3 linked regions of the Saccharomyces cerevisiae S288C genome follow. Changing the gene in region 3 together with the main gene of any one other region gives a genetic interaction. Each region holds a gene or a part of one and is shown on either strand. Other genes may lie near its edges.

Region 1 (9,314 bases), on a different chromosome or scaffold from region 3:
TTATCTTAACAACTCCGTATTCATTTTCTTCTTCAAAATACATGTATGCAAGGCCACCAGACCAAACAGAGGACATTTTATTGCCATAAAGGGCACTAACTTCAGTGAATGGCCTTGGTCTTACAAGATTGCAGCCGAATTCCGAAAAAAACACGGGAATTGGATAACCTTCAAATTCTTTCGTTCTTTCCCTATATCCACTAGTACCATACGTGGAATACCCACACCATTCGTACATATTTATCCCATAGAAATCAGCTTTAACGTCTCCGCAAACGAAGTACCTTGCTAAATTGTCTCTTGTCATAGCATCGTCATTAGTTGAATAGCCGACAGGGATTTTTCTATGATTAGAATGCGAAATATACTCCTTGGCATCTCGGATTGCGGCCTTCACGAAGGGTGATGCAAAGGTATTTGTATGGTCATTTGTCACTTCATTCCCTGCAAAATACCCCAACAAATTTGGAAAGGATGACATTGCATCAATTACAGATTTGTACCTTTCAAAAATATGTACATCCCAAGATGGATTTTCTCTATTTATTGAAATATCAGGCTCTGAAAGATCTAATAGGACGTACATTCCTTCGGCAGATAGAGCTTCCATACATATATCATGTGATTTTGTCGGATCTATTGCATAAACACGCAGTGTGTTCACTCCTAGCATTTTCAAAAATGGAATATCTCTTAAGCATATTTTTGGGTCCGCTAAGGCATCAATATAACTTGTCTCAAAAGCCCCATTTGCATTGCTAAGCTCCTCTTCACTTCTCTGCAATTGGTAAGCAATGCCCTTGATGAAGAACTGTTCCCCACTCTCAGAGTCAAAGAATTTGTTTCCTACAATTTTAATAGCAGGGGTTTTTTCAAAGCTGACACCTGAAGAGCCATGAGACAATTGCAAACAAAGAAAAATAGCCACAATAATGGCTGCGTAAAAATTTTGTTTCTTGTTCATACTTAACTGAAAAGTTTCAAGTACCTCGAGTTAACGAATAGTAACGGATGTAGGTTGTTGAATGTTGTCTTTGTCTGACAATCTTCTCGTTGGGGCTCGCAACTATCTAGCTAAATTAATTCATTTACAATCAGAGTGACACAAATTTTTTCAGAATTACTGACACCGAAAGCTGCTCCGTTTTTTATAAATAGAGGCCGATACTGGTGAAAAAAACTAGACAAAAGACTGTTTATAATCACATAACTGTACAAAAAAACCCTTATTGGCATAAACACATTCATATACCTATAATATAAAACTAAATTAAAAAGACGCTTCCAAAAATAAGTAAAAAAGCATCAACATTAAAACAATCTAAACCAAAAACATCGAACGGTATTTGCAACATCTTGAGAGTTTCTGGTCTACTTGCTTTTGGATAGAATATCAGTAAAATCAAGCGTTCAAGCAAGTATTGATTGTATTATTTTATAGTTGACCAGGTCTTTAATGATGGCGTATGAGTATAGTAGTGACTTTGATAAGTTGACATTTGGGAACCAGTGTCATTATTGGTTGTATTTATTGGTTGGAATAGATTGTGAACAACGCCATCCAATGAATCTCCAATGTGTTTGTGGATCTTAGCAGAGGCTACAGCAGGACCAATAATGCATCCTGCAAAAATAGCCAATACTAAAAAGTACAAAGAGCAGTACTTCTTGACCATACGCTTACGCAAACGAGTTTGCTTCAGAGAGTAAATTGGGGGACGAATTTGACGAGAGGGCTTTAGCCAGAATAGCATAATCGAGTGGAATTTATCTATTTTTGGGATTATAATGAGTGGCAGTTGACAGATTAAAATCACATGACCTAGAACAAAATCAGCTGCAAATTCTGAAAGCTCAATTACCTTGGCGGTTAATTCTCTACTTGGCTGGGTCCAAGCCATGTAACCCATACCTTTACCATACCACTTACCAGTCCAGAAGGCTGTATTGGCATGATCGTTTTTAAATTCACGAGTCAACATTAACGCTGTCATGCAATGAAAAATGAGTCTTTGACATTGGATACAAGTAACGACTCCGATTAACATTCTAACAAAGTTGAAGCTCTCCAAAACCCACATGACAATGAAAAAGGCAATGTGGACAATAACAGCAACACCGTGGGCAATTCCAGCCATTACAGAACCTGTCTTCTTACAACACATACCAAATAAGGGACCAGAGCAGCATGACATACCCATACAGAAGAATAGAACACCGAGGTTAACGGCGATTGGCGCCAAGGTACAAATGATGATACGTAAAACAGAATTCACCCTATCATCATCAGTAGTCTTGACACCGGTTTGAGCATTAATAAACGTGAAGGCAATAAAACAACCAGCTGCATAAATTGCACAGGGTATGATTTCAGCCATGATCAAATTGGTTCTATGAGCCCTGCTTGCGTCACCAGCAGCTTTCTCAGATTCATCGCCAACCAGTTTACGTTTAAACCCAGTAATACGTGCCCTAGACATCCTCACGTAACCAATCCACGAGTTTCTATGATATTGATTATTACCTCTTGATAACCATCTGATATAATCCCTGTAATCCAAAAAGAAATCTTCCCAAGCAAACTGATGTGGATTGAAAACGAAAGGCGCAAAAATTAATGAAGATAGAGAGGCCCAAAACCACAGTAGTGGAGCTTGCCAATGTGCGACAGTACCGAACAGCAACATTAACATTGATCTTGCACCCATGTAGATAGCAGATCCTGCAAATCTTGAATACAAAATTGAAAATGGTATACGAGAAGTTGCAAAACCACGACCGGTGGATATATAACGAGCACCACCAATTGCTAAATCACTTAATAACGCAGAAGAGTAGATTTGGCCCGCAAACACTTCGAACATAGGGGATAATGATAATAGGTGGCAGAAAAATCTTTGGGTGGCTTTCCATAGACCACGTTCAATTAGTTCTTGAACAACAATAGGAACGAAGGCAATCCAGAAAACAATGAAAATAGACAATGTATAACGTCTCACCCAATCAACCGCAGGTTGGAAGTTGTAACACCCAATTGGAACCAAAACATCTGTTTTTGGTTTGTTCCTATCGTAAATACACATAATAGATTCATGGGCCAAGGAAGATAAATTCACCAAAGTCAACATAAACATTTGCAAAGATAATTGAATGAACAAGTTGTTCAAATGGAAACCAGGATGGGCATAATAGAATGTTAGGAAACGGTCCACTGGTAATTGGGTACCCAGATAATAATATTCACGAGATAACATTTGTTCACCCATACCAGCACCAATCTTAGTAGTGAAATTTAGAATTGTACCGAAACCCAAATCTCTACCTTTACCACATTGATAATACTCACAATGCTTGATACGACCACCACGAAGCATAGCATTCATACCAGCATAAATATCTTCGTTTAAATGCAAACCCTTTTGTGCTTTGGAAACACCACCTCTAGTGGTCATAAACGTAGCATTAATGAAATCCGGATGACCATAATGCAATTTACCACCAATTTGAGATAAAGTACGCGCAAATAATGTACCAAAAGTTTGTTCTTTACCAGCGGCCACATCACCCAGCACACCAGAGTTTTCAGAGAAAATGTATTCTCTGGCACCAACAATAGCAACAGGATGATTAGTTGTTTGCTCCTCATACCTTAAACCGGGAGCATATGGATTAACTTGTTCAACGTTCAATTCCTCAAATTCAGCCAATACAGATCTAATCTTCAGACATTCTTCCAAGTAGTTATCTTGGTTGGCATCAATTAATTGAATGTATTCACCTCTGTAAAAAATCAAAGCATGGTTTTGGTTATCAGATTTACCGTCACCAAGAATTGGGTTACCAGATAATTGAACTCTAAACTTGGGACGTCTACGACCATTATCTAGAATTTCACAATGTCCATCAATCAAAGCGGAATAGATTCTTGGCTCCTCACCTTCAGTCAAAGGTGGCTCTTCATCCAAGTAGGCAATTTGTAAGTCTGGGTAAGCTCTCAACAAAAACTCAGCATTTTCCAGTTCATGTGGTTTGAATTTAGCCAATCTCTGCATAGAGACCAAAAATTTAAACTTTCTTCTTGCCATCTTTTCTAGCTCTCTTTCTAAGCCTTCAGCATTACCACCAAACATTTGAACAATTTCAGGATTTTCCACACGATACAGTAATTTGATAGCTCTTGAATAATTCATGAACCCTGAAATGGTACGATATAGAGTCTGCGACCTCAAAGAAGCCCAAATTCTCGTACGAAGTGTATATTCTGGAGCAGCAGATTTAAAACCAATACAATAAAATGGCAAATCATCGATTTGAGATTTCAAAGCATCTTCCTTTTCAGCTTCATTTTCATTTCCTTCATAGGCAGCGGTTTCTTCAGCCAAAATCTTAGTATCCTTAACAAAACATTCCCATTCAACGGGATGTAATTGTTTTAGATATTCTAAAAGAGTAACTCTAGAAAATTGGTCATCTTCACGAATAATTTCTCTTAATGACAGCAGAATTCTTTCCGCGTAGTGAGGAGTCAATACTGTGAACGTTGGCATGTTATCAACTGGAAGTGGTTCGGGAATTGGAGTAGACAAAGATTGAGCAAAGAAAGAAATACGACGCTCAGCCTCTGAATCCCTAGGGAAAAATTCAGTCTCAAAATTATTGTCATCTTGAGAAACAAAGAAGGTAGGAGCTCTCAAAGTTCTTTTACCTTCGATTTCAGATGGAACTTGATGATATAGTAATTTTTGTACATGGTCGATGGCTAAGAGATGTTCTCTGTACATTGAAATAATGATGGCATTCCATACTTGAGAAATCAAAACCTTTGGTTTGTATTTAATTTCCATATCAGTAGTAGCCAAAATCTTGGAGTATATTCTTTTTGGCAATCTTGTGAAGATATTTCTCCATGGTGTTAAGATAGAAATACCTAAATAGAAAGATTTCCCAACAGAGAAAATGGTATTCACAATAATGTACCATAAGTAGGTATCCAAGAAGAAAAGAATGAAGTCGGTAGCGATAACCAAACCTAAGACAATCTTGGGTTGCACTTTACAAAGTACCGCACCCCACCAGTATTCACCTGTACACCTCATTGCAGTGGTGGACAAAATTCTAATTGGATCTCTCAAAGATAAAACTAAAAAGTAGTACGATTCTGAATATTTGGCAGCAAAAACAGTAACCCAAACTAAATAGGACATCCATCTATCTAACCCATGTAGAGGGGCAAATGCAGCAGTGAATGTTTGAGATGCAACATAACGCCTTGTAGATTTTTTCATATATGACGTAAACAACCCCCCCAATGGCATAATGGAGAAGAATATGATGGTAGCAACCGCAACAAAGAACATAACAGCAGCAACAACGTGTGCAGCAGTGGAGTAGACTGTATCTTTGTCGTAAGCAAAAACAAAAATAATAGGACCCAAATTAATACCAAAGATGATGCATAAAAACCAGAATCTACGAGATAGATGTTGAGCACCAGCCCATTTTCTTGGAACGAATGACCATTCACACAAAGTAGCGACAATTTGAATCAAACTTGCGACAGTACCACCTAATGCGCAAGATGCCCACTTGTAAGCAGCCAAAGGTTGGTTGTCGACCAATTGTTGATAGTTATGAGTGTAAAATGTTGGTGAATTATATGCAAAGTACATCCAAAAAATGGAGATATGCATAACCCAAATACGGTTGAAGTTGGTGACCAAATGTAACCAAGTACGGGTCTCTTTATATGTTTTGAAGAATACATCATCCCAGACGACATCGCCTAATCTTAAATAACGTTCTTCCAATGGGAGTTCTATCAATTTTGTTCCATCTTCAAGAACAATCTTTGCAATACCTTCTGGATACCAGAACAATTGGTTTAAATCATCATAACCGACAATTTTGTTATGATCTCTTTCACGCTTGACAAAACGACCATCAACAATTTCATAAACTTGATTTCTGATGAAATGATAAATTGGCGTAATGACTCTATTCAAGAAATCACCTTCTGGCATAGGTTCTTGGCGTTGTTGGCAAAGAGGGGAATCCAAGTAGTCAAGAGCACACTTGTAGATAAAACATAAACATTCAGCAGTGAATCTGACTTGATTAGCTTCACCCCAACATAACAGATATAAGGCGATATGACGAACTCTTTCCAGGGGAGACAACTGGTTCATCTTGGCCTTCCATCTAAAATCAGCAGCCTCTAGGGAGTTGTCGCCTTCAATTTTGTTTAAAGTTTCTTCAGTGTCTTCGGGATTGGCCTCTTCCATTGCTTTCTTGTTTTTCTTCTTAGCTTTTCTTGCCTTCCTTGAGAGTTTTCCAAGACTCATATTTCTAAAACCAATTTCATCATCCATATCTAACTGAGCAGCAAAATACCATTTTTTATAGTTAGCAGTATCGCCACCAATGTAGTCGGCATGTAAAGATAGTAAAGCTTGATCAGGAGACATTCTCGAGGACCTAGAGTCCAAGAGAACCATAAAATGATCAAACATATTTCTCATGGAGTCTCTTTGGAACCCGAGTCTGTTGGTCAAATCAATAAAGATATCTTCGATTTGCTCGATCGAAACGGGAGATTGAGAGTCAGCAGTCCAAGCGGGATAAGGTTCATTTGGCAAAGCCATAGCGATAGCATTTGGGTCATAATTACCGTAAATTGGAGTCGAGGTACCCGACGAATTTGGTTCTCCATAACTCATTTGAGAAGCGGTATACTGACCACCATAGCTATCATATCCAGGTGTTCCAGGAGGGCCGTAACTGCTAAAATCCGAGAAGTTTTCACCGTCTTGAGCAGCCATATTTGGCGGTTGACCATAGTATTCACCGTTTGTGTAGTCTTGGTCGTAAGACTCGTTTGGTGGTTGTTGACCATACATATCAGCTTCAGTACCAGCAGCGACATTTGGATCGTAGTAACCATCAGCTTGTGAAGGATACAAAGGCTGGCCATATTGGTCATAGTCTTGTTCCTGACTTTGCCCGTTACCTGGTCCCTGGGTATAGTCCGTTTGGCCCTGATAAGGTTGTTGATCAGTGTTCATGGTCTGACCGTTGTATGAAAGACTTGATTTCAGCTACTTGCTTATTTTAATTTTTTTGAGCGAACGTAAGAGAGGTTAATGTCCTCTAACTATCAGTCCAATGACAGTATTTTCTCCTTCTCACAAACTACAATAAATATCTACCAATCTCTTTTCGAATAAGGACTAATGATATACGCTAGTTCCTGTTTGGTAAATGAAGGCTAGTGTTCGAGAATGGAGAACTTCGTAGTCGGTTAAAACAGCTGTAGTGTTCTGGCCTTCTTAGAAAGAATAAATAGTTCAGGAGTAAAATCAAAATATCTTTTAATATAAACTAAGACAAAGAAAGAAACAAGAATTTTGATCTGAAAAAATCGAAAAAAAGGAACGAATGGATCGATGAAAATTTTCGAGACTAGGTTATAATTATTTCTTTTTTTAGATTTGTGCGCGTAAAAAACGGAACCAGAAGAAGCCAAAAAAAAAAGAAATTCTTCCTGTGCTTCATCAAAACGCGAAAATTCGTCGCCCAGTAAGTGAGACTATTTCCTATAATAGAAATCCAAGTGGCAAAAGCGTTAGACGCAGTACAAGGACGCGTTAAGAAAAATTTCGAGAGAGTCGCCGATAGTAGGATTAGAGTTTCATAACGCGTTACACGGAAGGAGAGCAGTAAGGAGGGCCCGATACAGAAAAAAAAATGGCGCTTGTTACAGATTCTGATTGCCCGTACATGACATGGTCTTTCTTTTCTTTTTCGTTAATATTTCTGCTTTTTCATGTGTGTCGAAAATAGTTAGCTCGATAAGATACTGTGATAGGCAAAAAGAAAGTTTGTCCTTCCGCATCGGTGCTGTCCCTCCTTAGCTGAGGGTTCGGTGTACCTGTGCTTTTTCGGAACCAGTTCTTGGCCCGCTAAAAATCGCTACGTCCATCCCTTTGTCTTAGTCAAGCACGAAGGAATTCGAAGTTTATCGTAATTTTGCTTTGTTCTGGTCCCTTGGTTTTCTCTTTTTGCATAAATCTGGCAGTATCGTAAAATGTGATTTGCACAAACCAATGCACAGAGGAGAGTTGAAGTACAGATAGAATGCGTTTACGACATTACTTAGGCCTTTCCAGGGCGCGAAAAGACAAAATATGGATTGCCCTTGCTAATTGTGTAGATGTTTGCATGCCGCGGTTTTATCGCTGCGTCACATATGGGATTTTGATTGATTCAAAGCCTTGATATTATCAATAAATGGTTCAATCACATCCCATTTATTGAATTGGAGGCCTTCTTCGTCCTCTTCTGTACTTGAAGTGATTGATTCAGATTCTGCGTTTGAGGACTCTCTTTGTTGGCTTTGCTTCATATCTTGAACAGTTCCGTTGCACCAAGCGCTCAAGAGTTGTTGCCGTTTTCCTTCATTGTTCTTTAACCAGAGTTGAATAATTTCATCAATTCCCAAAAATAACTGCGGAATCTGGTGCTCAAAGACAATTTTTATGAGAATTTCAATAAATGACAAAAATACTTCATCGGAAAATTTTTCTAAAAAATTGACAGAATACATGAACTTAACGATCAAGATAAAGCATTTTTGAATCTCTAAAACAATCGTTGAAAATACTCTACTGAAAAGAACGTAGTTGATAATAGTGTTTCTATTGTGGCATTGATCTTGTTCTTTTAGCTCGATTCCGAATTTGAAAGTTTCCAAAATAGAATTGGAAAAATGCTTCAAACGGCACATTATGTCCACTATATTTGTGGAGGGATACTGACCCTTTAGCTTGCAAATTATGTACTTGTCATTGTAGCATTTCAAATCTGCATCAAACATTTGTAATAAGTTTATGTTCTTTATCAACGTTTCGACCCAAATATCGTGCACAATGAACTCAATTGTGTTAATGAAAGTAGATTTTTCGAAAGCCTCATCAGAAGAGTCGGCCAAGAGTTCAATGTCTTCAAAAAAGTTTAATAACACCACGCAGTTCGGAAGTATTAGTTCTACCAAATTTTCTTCGGGATTATCTTTGCTTACTCGAAAGTCATAGAGCGTATTGAATAGTTTTTTGTTTATTTCATTTAGAGTCAACGAACATTTTTCAAGGGTGGCACCAGATAATAACTCAGCATAAGGGACATTATCGTCAAAACTAAATTCTATCACGTCTTCATCTGCAGTATTTAGCATAAAAGTTGCTGAGTTTGAACGAAGACTATCAATGTTTCCATTTTTTTTTGAAAATTTTGACTCCGCTATATGGTTACAGTCAATA
Region 2 (6,594 bases), on a different chromosome or scaffold from region 3:
CAAACATCTGTAATAACAGTTCACAAGGTTAAGCTGGTTCGTTTCACTAGCGTATCATTTTTTATTTTTCAAATAAACAAACGAGGGCGGAGTTTATTGGGTCGTCATGACAAGGCTCAAAGCAAAATATTCACCTACAAAAGGTAAAAGAAAAGAAGATAAACATACAAAACGTATGCGTAAATCATCCTTCACAAGAACGCAAAAAATGCTTGAAGTATTTAACGATAATCGCTCGCATTTTAACAAGTACGAGAGCCTCGCTATCGACGTTGAAGACGATGACACTTTCGGAAACCTAGTCTTAATGGAAAATGATAAAAGTGATGTCGACATACCTGTAATAGAAGAAGTCACATCAAGTGAAGATGAACAAAGGGCAGAATCTAGCAAAAGAAACAATTCTCTCGAAGATAATCAAGATTTTATTGCTTTTTCGGACAGCTCTGAAGATGAAACAGAACAAATAAAGGAAGATGATGATGAAAGAAGCAGTTTTCTGTTGACCGATGAACATGAAGTTTCTAAGCTTACTTCACAGCAATCTCTGAACACTGAAAGCGCTTGCAATGTGGAGTATCCTTGGATAAGAAATCATTGTCATTCGAAACAAAGGAGAATAGCAGATTGGCTAACTTCAGAAATCAAAGATTTCGTTCATTATATCTCTCCAAGCAAGAACGAAATCAAGTGCAGAAATAGAACGATCGATAAACTACGCCGGGCGGTCAAGGAACTGTGGTCGGATGCAGATTTGCATGTGTTTGGTTCTTTTGCCACCGATTTATATTTGCCGGGTTCTGACATTGACTGTGTCGTAAACAGCCGGAATCGCGATAAAGAGGACAGAAATTACATTTATGAATTGGCGAGACATTTGAAAAACAAAGGGCTAGCTATAAGAATGGAGGTTATTGTTAAAACGCGAGTGCCTATTATCAAATTCATAGAGCCCCAATCACAGTTACATATCGACGTTTCATTTGAAAGAACGAACGGGTTAGAGGCTGCAAAACTCATCAGGGAATGGCTAAGAGACTCTCCAGGGTTACGTGAACTGGTACTGATAATAAAACAATTTTTGCATTCAAGACGATTGAACAATGTGCACACAGGAGGATTGGGAGGTTTCACAGTAATCTGTTTGGTTTATTCTTTTTTAAATATGCATCCGCGAATAAAATCAAACGATATCGACGTTCTAGATAACCTGGGTGTTCTACTGATTGACTTCTTCGAACTTTACGGAAAAAATTTTGGTTATGATGACGTTGCTATAAGCATATCTGATGGTTACGCCTCTTATATTCCTAAATCGTGTTGGAGAACTTTGGAACCTTCAAGGAGTAAATTCTCGCTAGCTATTCAAGATCCTGGTGATCCTAACAATAATATAAGCAGAGGCTCCTTTAATATGAAGGATATAAAAAAGGCCTTTGCTGGTGCCTTCGAACTGTTGGTCAATAAATGCTGGGAATTGAATTCTGCTACATTCAAAGACCGCGTTGGAAAAAGTATACTCGGAAACGTGATCAAATACCGTGGGCAAAAGAGAGATTTCAACGACGAAAGAGATTTAGTGCAGAATAAAGCCATCATTGAAAACGAGCGCTACCACAAGAGGCGCACGAGGATAGTTCAAGAAGATTTATTTATAAACGACACCGAAGACTTGCCAGTAGAGGAGATCTACAAACTTGACGAACCTGCAAAGAAGAAACAGAAGGCAAAAAAGGATAAGAGAGAAGGGGAAATCAAAAAGAGTGCCATTCCATCTCCACCTCCGGATTTTGGAGTGAGCAGAAGCAAATTGAAACGCAAAGTGAAAAAAACTGATCAGGGCTCTCTCCTACACCAAAACAACCTCAGCATAGATGACTTGATGGGACTTTCTGAGAATGATCAAGAATCCGATCAAGATCAAAAAGGAAGAGATACCCCTTCGGGACAAGATGAGAAATCACCACTGGAAACTAAGACAGTAGATGCTCAAACGAGAAGGGACTACTGGCTCTCTAAAGGCCAGGCTCTTTAACACAATATAGACTCTTATAGACTATTTACTATTTATACAAGAATACCACATCGATGTCCAAGTGAAACAATAAGCTAATGATATCAAACGCGTGGGTATTTTCCCTTTCCGGAAATATAGAGCCACCAAAAAAGGATAGTTTCCCGATATGGAAATTTTCTCGAGCCGGTAAGATGACGAAATTTTTCATCTCTGGCATGATAGAAACATAGTATGGAACGTGCAGGAGAGTCTGATTCGAGACACATAATTTGAAAGAACCTTCTAGCCTGAGCCTTGTACATGTATTAGCGTTGCCAGTTATTTGCTTCTGCTGCTAATAAGATCAAAACCTTAAGTCCTTTATTTCGATCGAACGTACTGCGCTACTGAAAACCATTGCATCTTTTGCTATCATTCATTCCTGGTGGTTTCTTTGGTGTAATAAATCGAACAGTGAAACTGAAACATAAAAGAAATAGTGCAAAATATGTCTCTTTCAGCTGCAGCGAATAAGATATCTGACAACGATTTCCAAAATATCGGACCGGCACCTAGACCTCCCAGTTCAAATAGCCAGGGCCGTACTTGCTATAATCAAACGCAACCTATAACCAAACTTATGAGTCAACTGGATTTAACATCAGCGTCCCATTTAGGTACAAGTACCTCCAAAAAAAAAAGCGGGTGGGTGTCCTACAAAGATGACGGTATACTTTCATTTATATGGCAAAAGAGATACCTGATGCTACACGATTCGTATGTAGCCCTTTACAAGAACGATAAACAAAATGACGATGCGATCTTGAAGATACCACTAACTAGTATTATAAGTGTAAGCAGGACACAGTTGAAACAATATTGTTTTGAGTTGGTGCGCTGCAGTGACCGAAATTCTGTATCATCAGGATCCTCGTCCTCTTTGAATGTATCATCAGACAGTAACTCCAAAAAATCAATATACATTGCTACAAAGACAGAAAGCGATTTGCATAGTTGGTTAGACGCCATTTTTGCTAAATGTCCATTATTAAGTGGTGTATCTTCTCCAACAAACTTCACACATAAAGTTCACGTTGGTTTTGATCCAGAAACAGGTAGTTTTGTTGGTATGCCCACCAACTGGGAAAAATTATTAAAGCACTCCAGAATTACAGGAGAAGATTGGAACAATAATTCTGCGGCTGTCATTCAAGTGTTGCAGTTTTATCAAGAGTATAATGGAGCCGGAAATCCCACAAATACTTTAGACAAGCCTCAAAGTGGTGAAACTTCCTCCTCTCAAAAATCGCTGCCAAACAGCTATAATGATAACAAACTCAGAAATAATTCAGTAAATTCAAAGTCATCTTCAGGCGTTTCTTCAAGTATGGTATCACAGAGGAAAACCTCACAACCACCAAATACCAAATCGCCTGTTTCTCTAGGAAGCGGCTCACTGCCACCAATAAATACAAAATTGCCCACTAGTCAGTCAAATATTCCAAGACACTTACAAAATGTTCCCAACCAACAATATCCTAAGATGAGAAACGGACACTCCCCAACCAATGGCCAATTTCCTAGGGGACCTATGCATCCAAACAATTCTCAACGATCTTTGCAGCAGCAGCAGCAGCAGCAGCAGCAACAAAAACAACAGCATCAACAATATCCATACCACCATCAAGGACCATCTCCATCTCCATCCCCATCTCCGTCTCCATTAAACCCTTATAGGCCACATCACAATATGATAAATCCTTATTCCAAACAACCTCAATCGCCATTAAGTTCACAGTCGACCCAAAACCAAGCAATTCCACGTTATGCACAAAACTCAAGTCCTACAGCCGCACACTTTCAACCTCAAAGAACAGCTCCAAAGCCACCAATATCAGCTCCAAGGGCGCCATACCCATCAAATCAAAATGCTACTAGTAACACACATGTACAGCCTGTTGCACCTAAGAATGACCAGTCAACCCCACAAACAATGAGGCAGGCCCCAAAGAGACCGGATGCAGATGTCGCACAACCGGGTGGTGTGGCCAAACCGAAGAAGCCAGCAAGGCCTACCATGTCAACTGCAGAAATAATGAGTAAGCTGAAGAAAGTCACCGTAAATGCGGATCCATCTCAATGCTTTAAAGTGATCGAGAAGGCCGGTCAAGGTGCAAGTGGGTCCGTCTACCTTGCAGAGAGGACGCATATTCCGACAGAAAGTAATATGATCGAACTCATAAACAATGATATTGATGAGCCGCACGTAGGAGATAAAGTTGCTATCAAGCAAATGGTCTTATCTAAACAACCTCGTAAAGAACTCATAGTGAATGAAATTTTGGTTATGAAGGATTCACGTCATAAAAATATCGTCAATTTTCTCGAGGCTTATTTGAGAACAGACGATGACCTATGGGTTGTGATGGAGTTTATGGAAGGAGGTTCACTAACAGACATTATCGAGAATAGTCCCACCAACGATAATTCACATTCACCACTAACAGAACCCCAAATTGCATATATCGTACGAGAAACTTGCCAAGGCTTGAAATTTCTACACGACAAGCATATCATTCATAGGGATATTAAATCAGATAATGTCTTGCTGGACACTAGAGCTAGGGTGAAAATTACCGATTTTGGGTTTTGCGCCAGATTAACTGATAAAAGAAGCAAAAGAGCCACTATGGTTGGGACACCTTACTGGATGGCACCTGAAGTTGTCAAACAACGTGAATACGATGAAAAGATTGACGTATGGTCTTTGGGTATCATGACCATTGAAATGCTGGAGGGTGAACCACCATATTTAAATGAAGATCCACTAAAGGCGTTGTACTTAATTGCAACTAATGGTACACCAAAGCTCAAGCATCCAGAAAGTTTGTCTTTAGAAATTAAACGCTTTCTAAGCGTTTGCCTTTGCGTAGATGTTAGATATAGGGCATCAACCGAAGAGCTTTTACACCACGGTTTTTTCAATATGGCATGTGATCCAAAGGATTTGACATCACTGTTGGAGTGGAAGGAATGAAGCACACAACTATTTCTATAAGCATATCATACATACTACAATCTTATGTATTTCTTTTCTTTTAGCTATGCATACCAATGGCATAATATATAAATACGTTCACCTTAAAAGTTTTTTTTTTAAAGTAAATAAAAAAAGACCTGCAACGATACAATAATCAATCCAATGTCGTTTAATATTACTATTTATCCTACGTGATTTTTAAAAATATTCGTCCATGCTTCAGCTTCTAGTCTAGTTTCGTAAATCCAAGTGATAATTCCAAAACTTTATCTTGGAGGCCATCCATTTTATGAGATACTGGGATGGTTCTTAAAATCAACGGACTTAATGTTTGTAGGTTTTCAACTCCAATTTGTTTGTTGCCAAGGGTCGAATTTTGATCTAGAACACCTCTTAAAATCACGCATAGCCCATTTAATAGAGTAGCTAGTTCTGTTTTACGCAATTTTGGTATTGGTGCTCGCCCAATCAAGTATTCATCTGAGATATATCTTCTAAGAGCAAGGGCAATTCTTGCAGAAAGATAAGGAGCAGTTAACTTTCTTAATTTCTCGTTTGTGTTCAACATAAAATTAACCAAATCTTGCAAGCACTCTAAAGAGCACTTATATTTTGTCTGAAAGCGAGGATTTGTGGTGGATCCAAATATACATGAAAAATCGAACGAAGATAGTTTTTGAGACAATTCAGAAAACGTACCACAGTCTTGCATCAAAGCATTTTCTAATTCATCGAATTCATATAAAAATGAACAATCCCAGACGGCATAAATGAAAGTGTCTAATTGCCTTTCATTGAAGAGATCAATGATTCTGTTTTCCAGCAATATCTCCCTATATTTGGAATACTCATTCAAATCGTCTATCTCGGTTAAATTATCGAGCTCTGGGTTGATTCTTTGTAATGTGACAACAATAACATTTATAAATAAATCACAAAAGTTATCCTTTAATGGATTTTCTGCATCTTCTTGGAGTGATTTGAAAATTTTGTTCGACAAATCACAGAAGCAATTGGAAGCAAGAACCCATATGGGGATTTCATCACTCTCTGACCCTGTAATAAGCGATTTTCGCTTGATGATTTCAGCCAAATTTTTCAATATTCTTAAAATATGCTTTGCTTTCAGTGTGGATATACCAAATTGATCTATTTTTGCTATTCTATTTCTCAGGTTAGAACATGACATATAGCTGATTGCCTCAAAAGTTGGTAACCTGTTAAGTGATGCTTTTGGAAGCTTTGGTCCAAGTTTTTTTGTTATTTTTTCCCTTGTATCAAAAGCCAATATCGATATTGTACTTAACTGGAGAAGAATCAAAATTTCTGTATCTTTAGAATCATTTGTCATAAATATATCAAGTCCAGACAATATGGCCTTTTGCATAGAGGACGGTTTAGTTTTGTCTTGGACAAACTCAGGTAAGAGAGGATATTTTATGGCAGAATTGAATAAAAGAAGAACTTTTTCCACAAATTCATCTGTCATCGCATCGTATTTCGATATTAATTGGTAAAGAGGAGGAAATCCGGTTATTAGTTCGTATATACAATCGTA
Region 3 (7,551 bases):
CTCAGATTACTTTGTTGTTAGAAGAGGATATATCAAGCTAACACACATATATTCCCATCAAAAGGGCTCTTTTTATATGTACGGAAACAGGTTTGGTATCAATTGGAGAGCTTTGGCTGCATATCTATGTGGGGTGGCTCCTTGCTTGCCCGGTTTCATCGCGGAGGTGGGCGCTCCCGCTATAAAGGTTTCTGATGGAGCTATGAAACTATATTACCTAAGTTACTGGGTAGGATATGGCTTGAGTTTTTCTTCTTATACTGCTCTGTGTTACTTCTTCCCTGTACCTGGGTGCCCTGTTAACAACATTATAAAGGACAAGGGCTGGTTCCAAAGATGGGCCAATGTCGATGATTTTGAAGAAGAGTGGAAAGACACAATTGAGAGGGATGACCTGGTAGATGACAATATTAGTGTCTACGAACACGAACACGAAAAGACTTTCATTTAAGCTCTCCATATCTACATCACTTTCTGCATTAATCTGAAATATTTTTCAAATTTTCATGTGTAATGATATTAATCCTTATCTATACTACTTACTTCTATTTACGTTCTCTTTAGCATTTACTTTGTGCATTTGGCCTTCAATGAGCATTAATTTCACTGGTTTTAATATATTCACTCACTTTCATTCGATTTTTTGTTTGCTTTATGGCTTAGCGTTCTTTCCTCTCTCCTTTCTCTTTTTACACACGAGAAAAAATGGATAATTGTTGTATTATGCCATATGCATAACTTTACGATTCGTTATGCTATGCGAACTTGAAGCCCAGATTTCTACACGAAAAGTTTGAGTTTATTAGTATCTTCTCCAAGATAAATATAGCATCAAGTTACAGGTATGTCGAACATCACTTATGTCAAAGGTAACATCTTAAAACCAAAGTCATATGCTAGGATCCTCATCCATTCTTGCAACTGCAATGGCTCGTGGGGTGGTGGGATCGCTTATCAACTTGCTTTGCGCTACCCAAAAGCAGAGAAAGATTACGTTGAAGTATGCGAAAAGTATGGTTCTAATTTACTAGGCAAATGCATATTACTTCCCAGTTACGAAAACTCAGATCTGCTGATTTGTTGCTTGTTTACATCATCATTTGGAGGTTCAAGTCATGGAGAAAAGCAAAGTATTTTGAATTATACAAAACTTGCTTTAGATAAATTGAAGACCTTTAGAGAAGCAAAAGACAAAACTCGAACAAGTGAAGATTCAATCGGTGACTATTTAAACGGCCACATCAAATACCCAATAGGGGAATATAAATTGGAAATGCCACAGATAAATAGTGGCATATTCGGAGTCCCTTGGAAAGAGACAGAACGCGTGTTAGAAGAATTTAGTGGCGACATGAGTTTTACAGTATATCAGCTGTAATTGCCTTAGCCACGTAATATGTGCCTTTAAAGATAGAGAAATATTTATTTATTAAGTTTTAGTTCTAAGGTGTGTTAAAATACCTCTCAAATAAATAAGTTACACACAACCATATATCAACTTGTAAGTATCACAGTAAAAATATTTTCATACTGTCTATGCAACGAAGGAGTCACTTTCCTCCTTCCGATTGAGAATATCTTCCCTTTCAAATTCCCTCCATGTCCTCATTTTAATCTTTGAGTGATCAAATTCACCTTCATTCTCGTCTTGTGCCTTTTTATTACCTCCCGCAATAGTTCTCGTATCACCCCATGAGAAGTCATCAAATTTCCAGTACGCATATGAAGGTAGTACGAAATTCCAAATAGGCAAAGCACAAATATATACGCACATCCACCATAGGTACGACCATCTCGTAGCAGTTATAACAACAATTAAGCCGGGCAGACCAAGAATAATTGCCAGTAAAACTAAAGTGATTACGGGTGTAGGTTTTGATACAATGGCAAAAATAATGACATAAATAGTAAAGCAAATGGCTAACGGCAGTACCATAGTACCAATCAATTCAATACCAATCACAAATTGCATGGAAAAACAGAAAGTGCCACATAAGTCTCTGATTAGAACTAATTCAAAAAGGTTATGTACCGTAGAATTAATCCATCTTCGACGCTGGGAAAGTAAGACTTTGAATTTATCAGGGGCAATAGTTTTACAAGCAGCTTTTGGAACAAATACTTGCTTTCTCTTAGGGAAAGTCTTTAACATTAATGAAGATAAAAATCTATCTTCACCAAGTAATAATAAGTTCTTCTTATGCAAAGTGTTTGTAACATTATCCGAATATCTTTCAACAATATCTGGATTTGCCAATACAGGTACCCAATAACCATCTGAACCTTTAGGAGATTTTATACGATACATTGAGAAACATCCCGGCAAACAAGTTACCGAACCGAAGACAGATTCAAAAGCTTTAGCCTGATGATGCGAAATATAGTACTCAAACACTTGAATTGCAGTTACCCAAGATTGTGCCTTATTAGCGATCTTGGTCTCACCACAAAGACCCATAATCAAAGGATCTTTAACCATTTCAGCGACCATATGAGTTAAAGCATCGGGAAAGACTTTAGTATCAGCATCAACCATAAGTACCGTTTCGTAGAAGTCTGCCATTAGCCCCGTAATCTGCCAAATATTTTTTAAAAGCTGAAATTCCAATTGAGTCATTCTTTCATCAAATGTTATTTTTTCTAAAAAGGACATCAGAATAATTTGAGAATCACGCTTACCTCTGTTACCGGGTTTGGCGGCCCCCTGCTCTGCAGGAGTACCGCACTTCACAATTGTAATGATTGGGACACGTTGTTGATTTTCTGGTGGAATTGTAGAATCGTCATATTTGTAAAAACCCGCATATATCTTGGCCATATTGTGTCTTTTAGAGCCTGATGCCACTGCCACATAGGAGTAAGGTTTAACTTCATCAGGTGGGGTGACAAAGTCGTCCATCATTCCTAACGCTATCTCTGGAGTAGTCTTATCGTTGCCCGAGCCCTTAATTAAACCATCACAAACAACCATCAGTAGTTTATGGGAATTTGGATAATCTGTGGTAGAAAGAGAGTCTAAAGTGGTTCTTAAACCCTCTTCATCCTCAGAATAACAAGTAACAAAACAGATAGTATGAATCAATGGGAACCCGTATGGCATAAAATCCAGTGGTGGTTGTTGAACGATATCGGGATGTATAATCGTCGAATCAAGACTCTGAATCAGCGATGATCCTGGTACAGGAGAGGAAGTCGCTTTATTCCAAAACATCGAGGATGTAGGCAACAAAGTAGATGGATTACGGGAATGTACAGCTTTGTTTTCATTCGAGAGTTTCCAAGCATTTTGAGTGGTCATTGTTGTCATTCCTCTGTATGAACCAGAAGATTGTAGTGAACTGCTCATGGAGGTGTCTAGATCTATCACAGATTCGTTAAATTGAAACATTTTGGAGCTGTGTTTTTTCAGCAAGTCAAAGGTTGAAGCACGCTTGTGTCCCAACGACTTTTTTGAGTATTTCTTTGGCCTCAAATGAGGATCTACTTCCTTTAGAGGAGCTTTTGTTTGAATATTATTAGACCAATCCTCGATATCGTTTGTGTGTTTATCCATTGTTTTATTGTCCACGATATATGCACCTTGTTTCCTAGCTACAGTCCAACGGAAGTAGCAGGCAATTATGAATTTAATTATCACCACTGAAAGAATAAATACCAGAGAAACATACAAAACGACATCAGAGGCAATACAACCGACGGTTTTGGAGTCTACTTCACCAACTTTAATAATTTCGCTCAAACATCTCGCAATTTTTCTTTCATGCCCATTTGACAAAACCAACGAAAGATCATAACCTTGTAAATTTGAAGTCTTCAAGTCATCGAATACAACGGGATAGTCAACGTCATCCTTTTCCAACCAATCAAGAAGATCTAAATCCAAAACGTCGCCATTATAAACAATCAAGTTTCTAGAAGAGTTCTTTATACCATCCCAAGTGAAGTAAACATCAGCTTTCGACTTTAAACCGTAAAATGCGTCCCTATCTTCTTTAGACGTATGACAGTTCCATCCTGCGTAATTTTCAACTGTGAAGTTTGGCTTCGAAGAGCCATCTTGATTCTTTAACTTACAAGGAAAATACCATGCTAAATTATTATCATCGTCATGGGGAATGGAAGAATTACTCTTTGGAGTTATAAGGTTATGACAGTTACCATTCACATTTTGAAACAAGAACGAAGCATCTTTACCAGCATCTGACCAGGGCCCATAAAGGGTGTCTGAATCTACTTCAACGTCTTGTATACCGGAACGCGAGGAAGTATCCAATTCATAAGCCTTACCGTTAATTACGACAAATTCTGTTGATACTTCGTTGTTTTTCAAACGTAGTTTCGAACTACTACAAACGGTTTTAGTGAAACCAAAAGTCAGGAAAGCCACAATCGCACCAATGTACAAGATGACAGAAATTAAAGCAACCTTTTCTCTCCACGCCATTTGTCTTTCCTTCTTTGGCATCCCGCAGAAAGCAAGAATTGGAGCAGGTGCCCAAAACGTAATGAAATAACAGTACATCTGCCAAAATGACAATGTATCATTCGTTTCCTTTCTTAATGGTTTGATAGACTTATTTATGGGCTGCGTGGAGCTTTCTTCGAAATTGTCCACATCACCATCTTTATCAAATTCGTCTTCCGCAACACCTTCATCACTTATTTTAACGGAAGCCTTCTTGTCAGTAGTATTCATATCTTGTAAAAGATAGCTATCCGTTTCGCGGCCACTAAATTTGCTTCTCACTGAGCCTTTGGAGCGCAGGGAGCCACTCCGACGAGTTGCATTTGGGTTTACACCGGTACTTGATGGTAAAACATCCAGGTGATTCATCTGCTCCTGCGTTTTCTGCGCATAATAAAAATGTGGATTATCAGGATTGTTCAGTCGGCTTCTTTCGGGCCGCACTAAAGAGCCTTGTCTATGAGGTGCTCCTGAGCCGACACTGTGTCTTGACCTAAGTAGAGACTCTTCATCTTGATTAAGGTTCAGATAGTAGTCATCAGGATCATCTCCATTCAAGCCGGTCATTCTAATTTCTTTCCTGCGGATAGTCTAAACAGGACCTTTGAAGAAAATGGGACCTACACCAAAAATACTCGAGAACTTTGCAAATCGGTAAACGTTTATAACCGTCTACCAATGTGATTCTTCTAGCAGGATTTACTACAAGTCGAAATGTTGGTACTGAATGTAAATCTGAAACACAGGAAAGAATATTTTTGATTTCTATTTTTATGCTCTTATTTTCATTTTTGATTTTTTTTTTCGAGGTCTGCGCCAGCGCCAATAACGCGTTTTATCCAAATAGGCAGCCAAAGAGGGTCACCTATGCAGGTGCTGAATGCAATACAACTGCGGGCTAACTGTCCATCGACGCTATTGAATATGCTTCAAGAAATATCCAGTCTCATGCACATGTCAAATATGTGGGTGAGGGCGCAAATACAACGCACGATTATATATACATTTGTGGCTACGTAGTACGTGCGGAGATAGGCAGGTATTTGTTCAAGGATGTAAATAAGAACTACAATGCTTAGTTCTCGAATCCTAGAATGTGAGTAAATCTCACAAGCACCGCTTCTATAAATTTGTCTAGGGTAATTTGTAATCTTTTCCCATGCGGATTCTCTTAAATACGGTACAGCCGTCGCTGCTGCGGTGTGATTCTGGTTTCATAGATCTGGAAAAAGAAAGCGAGACACAATACAAGAGCTTTGTGACACAGCGTACGGAGAGAATAAGATAAAGAACAGTTCCTGGCGTTTTTAATTGAACTTTTGTACTCGTCTCTTTATTCTCACGAATTTTTTTACCGCCGTTTTCATTTCCATTGCAAAGGAGGGAAAATATAAATGTTTTTATAGAGGCAGTATATCTTTAATTTCATAGCATATGCAGTTTAGAAAAAAGACGTAAATTCGTTGCCCTAGTCACGCTGGTTACATAAATTGGTCGTTGAATTGACTTTTAAGACATCCAGTTGGTGTGTTTGCTCCAAATAGTGCTGACGCATCTTGCCAATTCTCGTCAATTTAGCACGGAATGCTTGTTACTTATTCGATAACGCTTTTACCTTGATTGCATGTAGTCACTATCCTCAAACCTTTTCTAAGGTTGCCCTATTGGCGACAGAAAAGCAGGACGAGAAATCTAAATAACCAACGTGTGGTTTATTAACTATGACGGTTGGTTTGCTTGCCGCCCCAAGTTATAGAAGACTGCCCTTCATCCCGGGGTAGCTATCATAGAATCTGTCGATAGTTACAATTTTGGGTGGGGTGTTTTCAAAAATGGACGGATATGCCGGTCTTTGAAACTTCGATGATGTAGCCTATTGTTTTAATTTTCTGCTTGATCCTTTCGCTCTTTTTAGGGATAAAAAAGAAAACCTAACAAAGTATGAATTTCGAGAAGTCCCATCGATAGTAGTCAAACAATTGCTAAAGAGGGCTACGGATCGTCTACAATACCTTCGTAAAACAGCAGCTTACAGGATCTTTTATAATATCACCATAGAAAGGGGAATTTGGGAAGCGAGAGTAAAATGTTGAATAGTTCAAGAAAATATGCTTGTCGTTCCCTATTCAGACAAGCGAACGTCTCAATAAAAGGACTCTTTTATAATGGAGGCGCATATCGAAGAGGGTTTTCAACGGGATGTTGTTTGAGGAGTGATAACAAGGAAAGCCCAAGTGCAAGACAACCACTAGATAGGCTACAACTAGGTGATGAAATCAATGAACCAGAGCCTATTAGAACCAGGTTTTTTCAATTTTCCAGATGGAAGGCCACCATTGCTCTATTGTTGCTAAGTGGTGGGACGTATGCCTATTTATCAAGAAAAAGACGCTTGCTAGAAACTGAAAAGGAAGCAGATGCTAACAGAGCTTACGGTTCAGTAGCACTTGGCGGTCCTTTCAATTTAACAGATTTTAATGGTAAGCCTTTCACTGAGGAGAATTTGAAGGGTAAGTTTTCCATTTTATACTTTGGATTCAGTCATTGCCCCGACATTTGTCCAGAAGAGCTTGACAGATTAACGTATTGGATTTCTGAATTAGATGATAAAGACCATATAAAGATACAGCCATTGTTTATCTCATGTGATCCTGCAAGAGATACACCGGATGTCTTGAAAGAGTACTTAAGCGATTTTCACCCAGCTATCATTGGTTTAACCGGTACGTACGACCAAGTGAAAAGCGTATGCAAAAAATACAAGGTATATTTTTCAACTCCACGTGATGTCAAGCCCAACCAGGATTACTTAGTGGACCATTCGATATTTTTCTATTTGATCGACCCTGAAGGACAGTTTATCGATGCGTTGGGAAGAAACTACGATGAGCAATCTGGTCTCGAAAAGATTCGTGAACAAATTCAGGCGTATGTGCCAAAGGAAGAACGGGAGCGTAGGTCAAAAAAATGGTACTCTTTTATCTTCAATTGAGCAAAAAAAAAAAGAAAAAGACACAGCTAGGATACCGAACTTATGGGTCGTTCAATTTAACAGTTACATTGTAAATAGAAAAAAATAGTAAAAA

What was found. Genes that interact genetically often act in the same process or in processes that back each other up.
Region 1: mutations in CHS3 (region 3) and FKS1 are lethal when combined (synthetic lethality), as found in Saccharomyces cerevisiae (7 studies listed by BioGRID, with this or other methods).
Region 2: mutations in CHS3 (region 3) and CLA4 together harm fitness more than expected from each alone (negative genetic interaction), as found in Saccharomyces cerevisiae (8 studies listed by BioGRID, with this or other methods).

What each region holds. Positions count from the first base shown.
Region 1 is NC_001144.5:807,744-817,057, reverse strand, and holds FKS1 (1,3-beta-D-glucan synthase), read right to left. Parts: upstream 7,062-9,314; coding exon 1,431-7,061; downstream 1-1,430. Other genes in the region: GAS2 (1,3-beta-glucanosyltransferase), read right to left, coding at 1-964; YLR342W-A (uncharacterized protein), read right to left, coding at 1,075-1,248; SPO77 (Spo77p), read right to left, coding at 8,240-9,314. UniProt on the Saccharomyces cerevisiae protein: Alternate catalytic subunit of the 1,3-beta-glucan synthase (GS) complex. Synthesizes 1,3-beta-glucan, a major structural component of the yeast cell wall. Involved in cell wall synthesis, maintenance and remodeling.
Region 2 is NC_001146.8:66,411-73,004, forward strand, and holds CLA4 (serine/threonine protein kinase CLA4), read left to right. Parts: upstream 1-2,504; coding exon 2,505-5,033; downstream 5,034-6,594. Other genes in the region: non-canonical poly(A) polymerase TRF5, read left to right, coding at 107-2,035; MON2 (Mon2p), read right to left, coding at 5,263-6,594. UniProt on the Saccharomyces cerevisiae protein: Involved in budding and cytokinesis.
Region 3 is NC_001134.8:282,894-290,444, forward strand, and holds CHS3 (chitin synthase CHS3), read right to left. Parts: upstream 5,033-7,551; coding exon 1,535-5,032; downstream 1-1,534. Other genes in the region: FUR4 (uracil permease), read left to right, coding at 1-451; POA1 (ADP-ribose 1''-phosphate phosphatase), read left to right, coding at 845-1,378; putative thioredoxin peroxidase SCO2, read left to right, coding at 6,552-7,457. UniProt on the Saccharomyces cerevisiae protein: Polymerizes chitin, a structural polymer of the cell wall and septum, by transferring the sugar moiety of UDP-GlcNAc to the non-reducing end of the growing chitin polymer.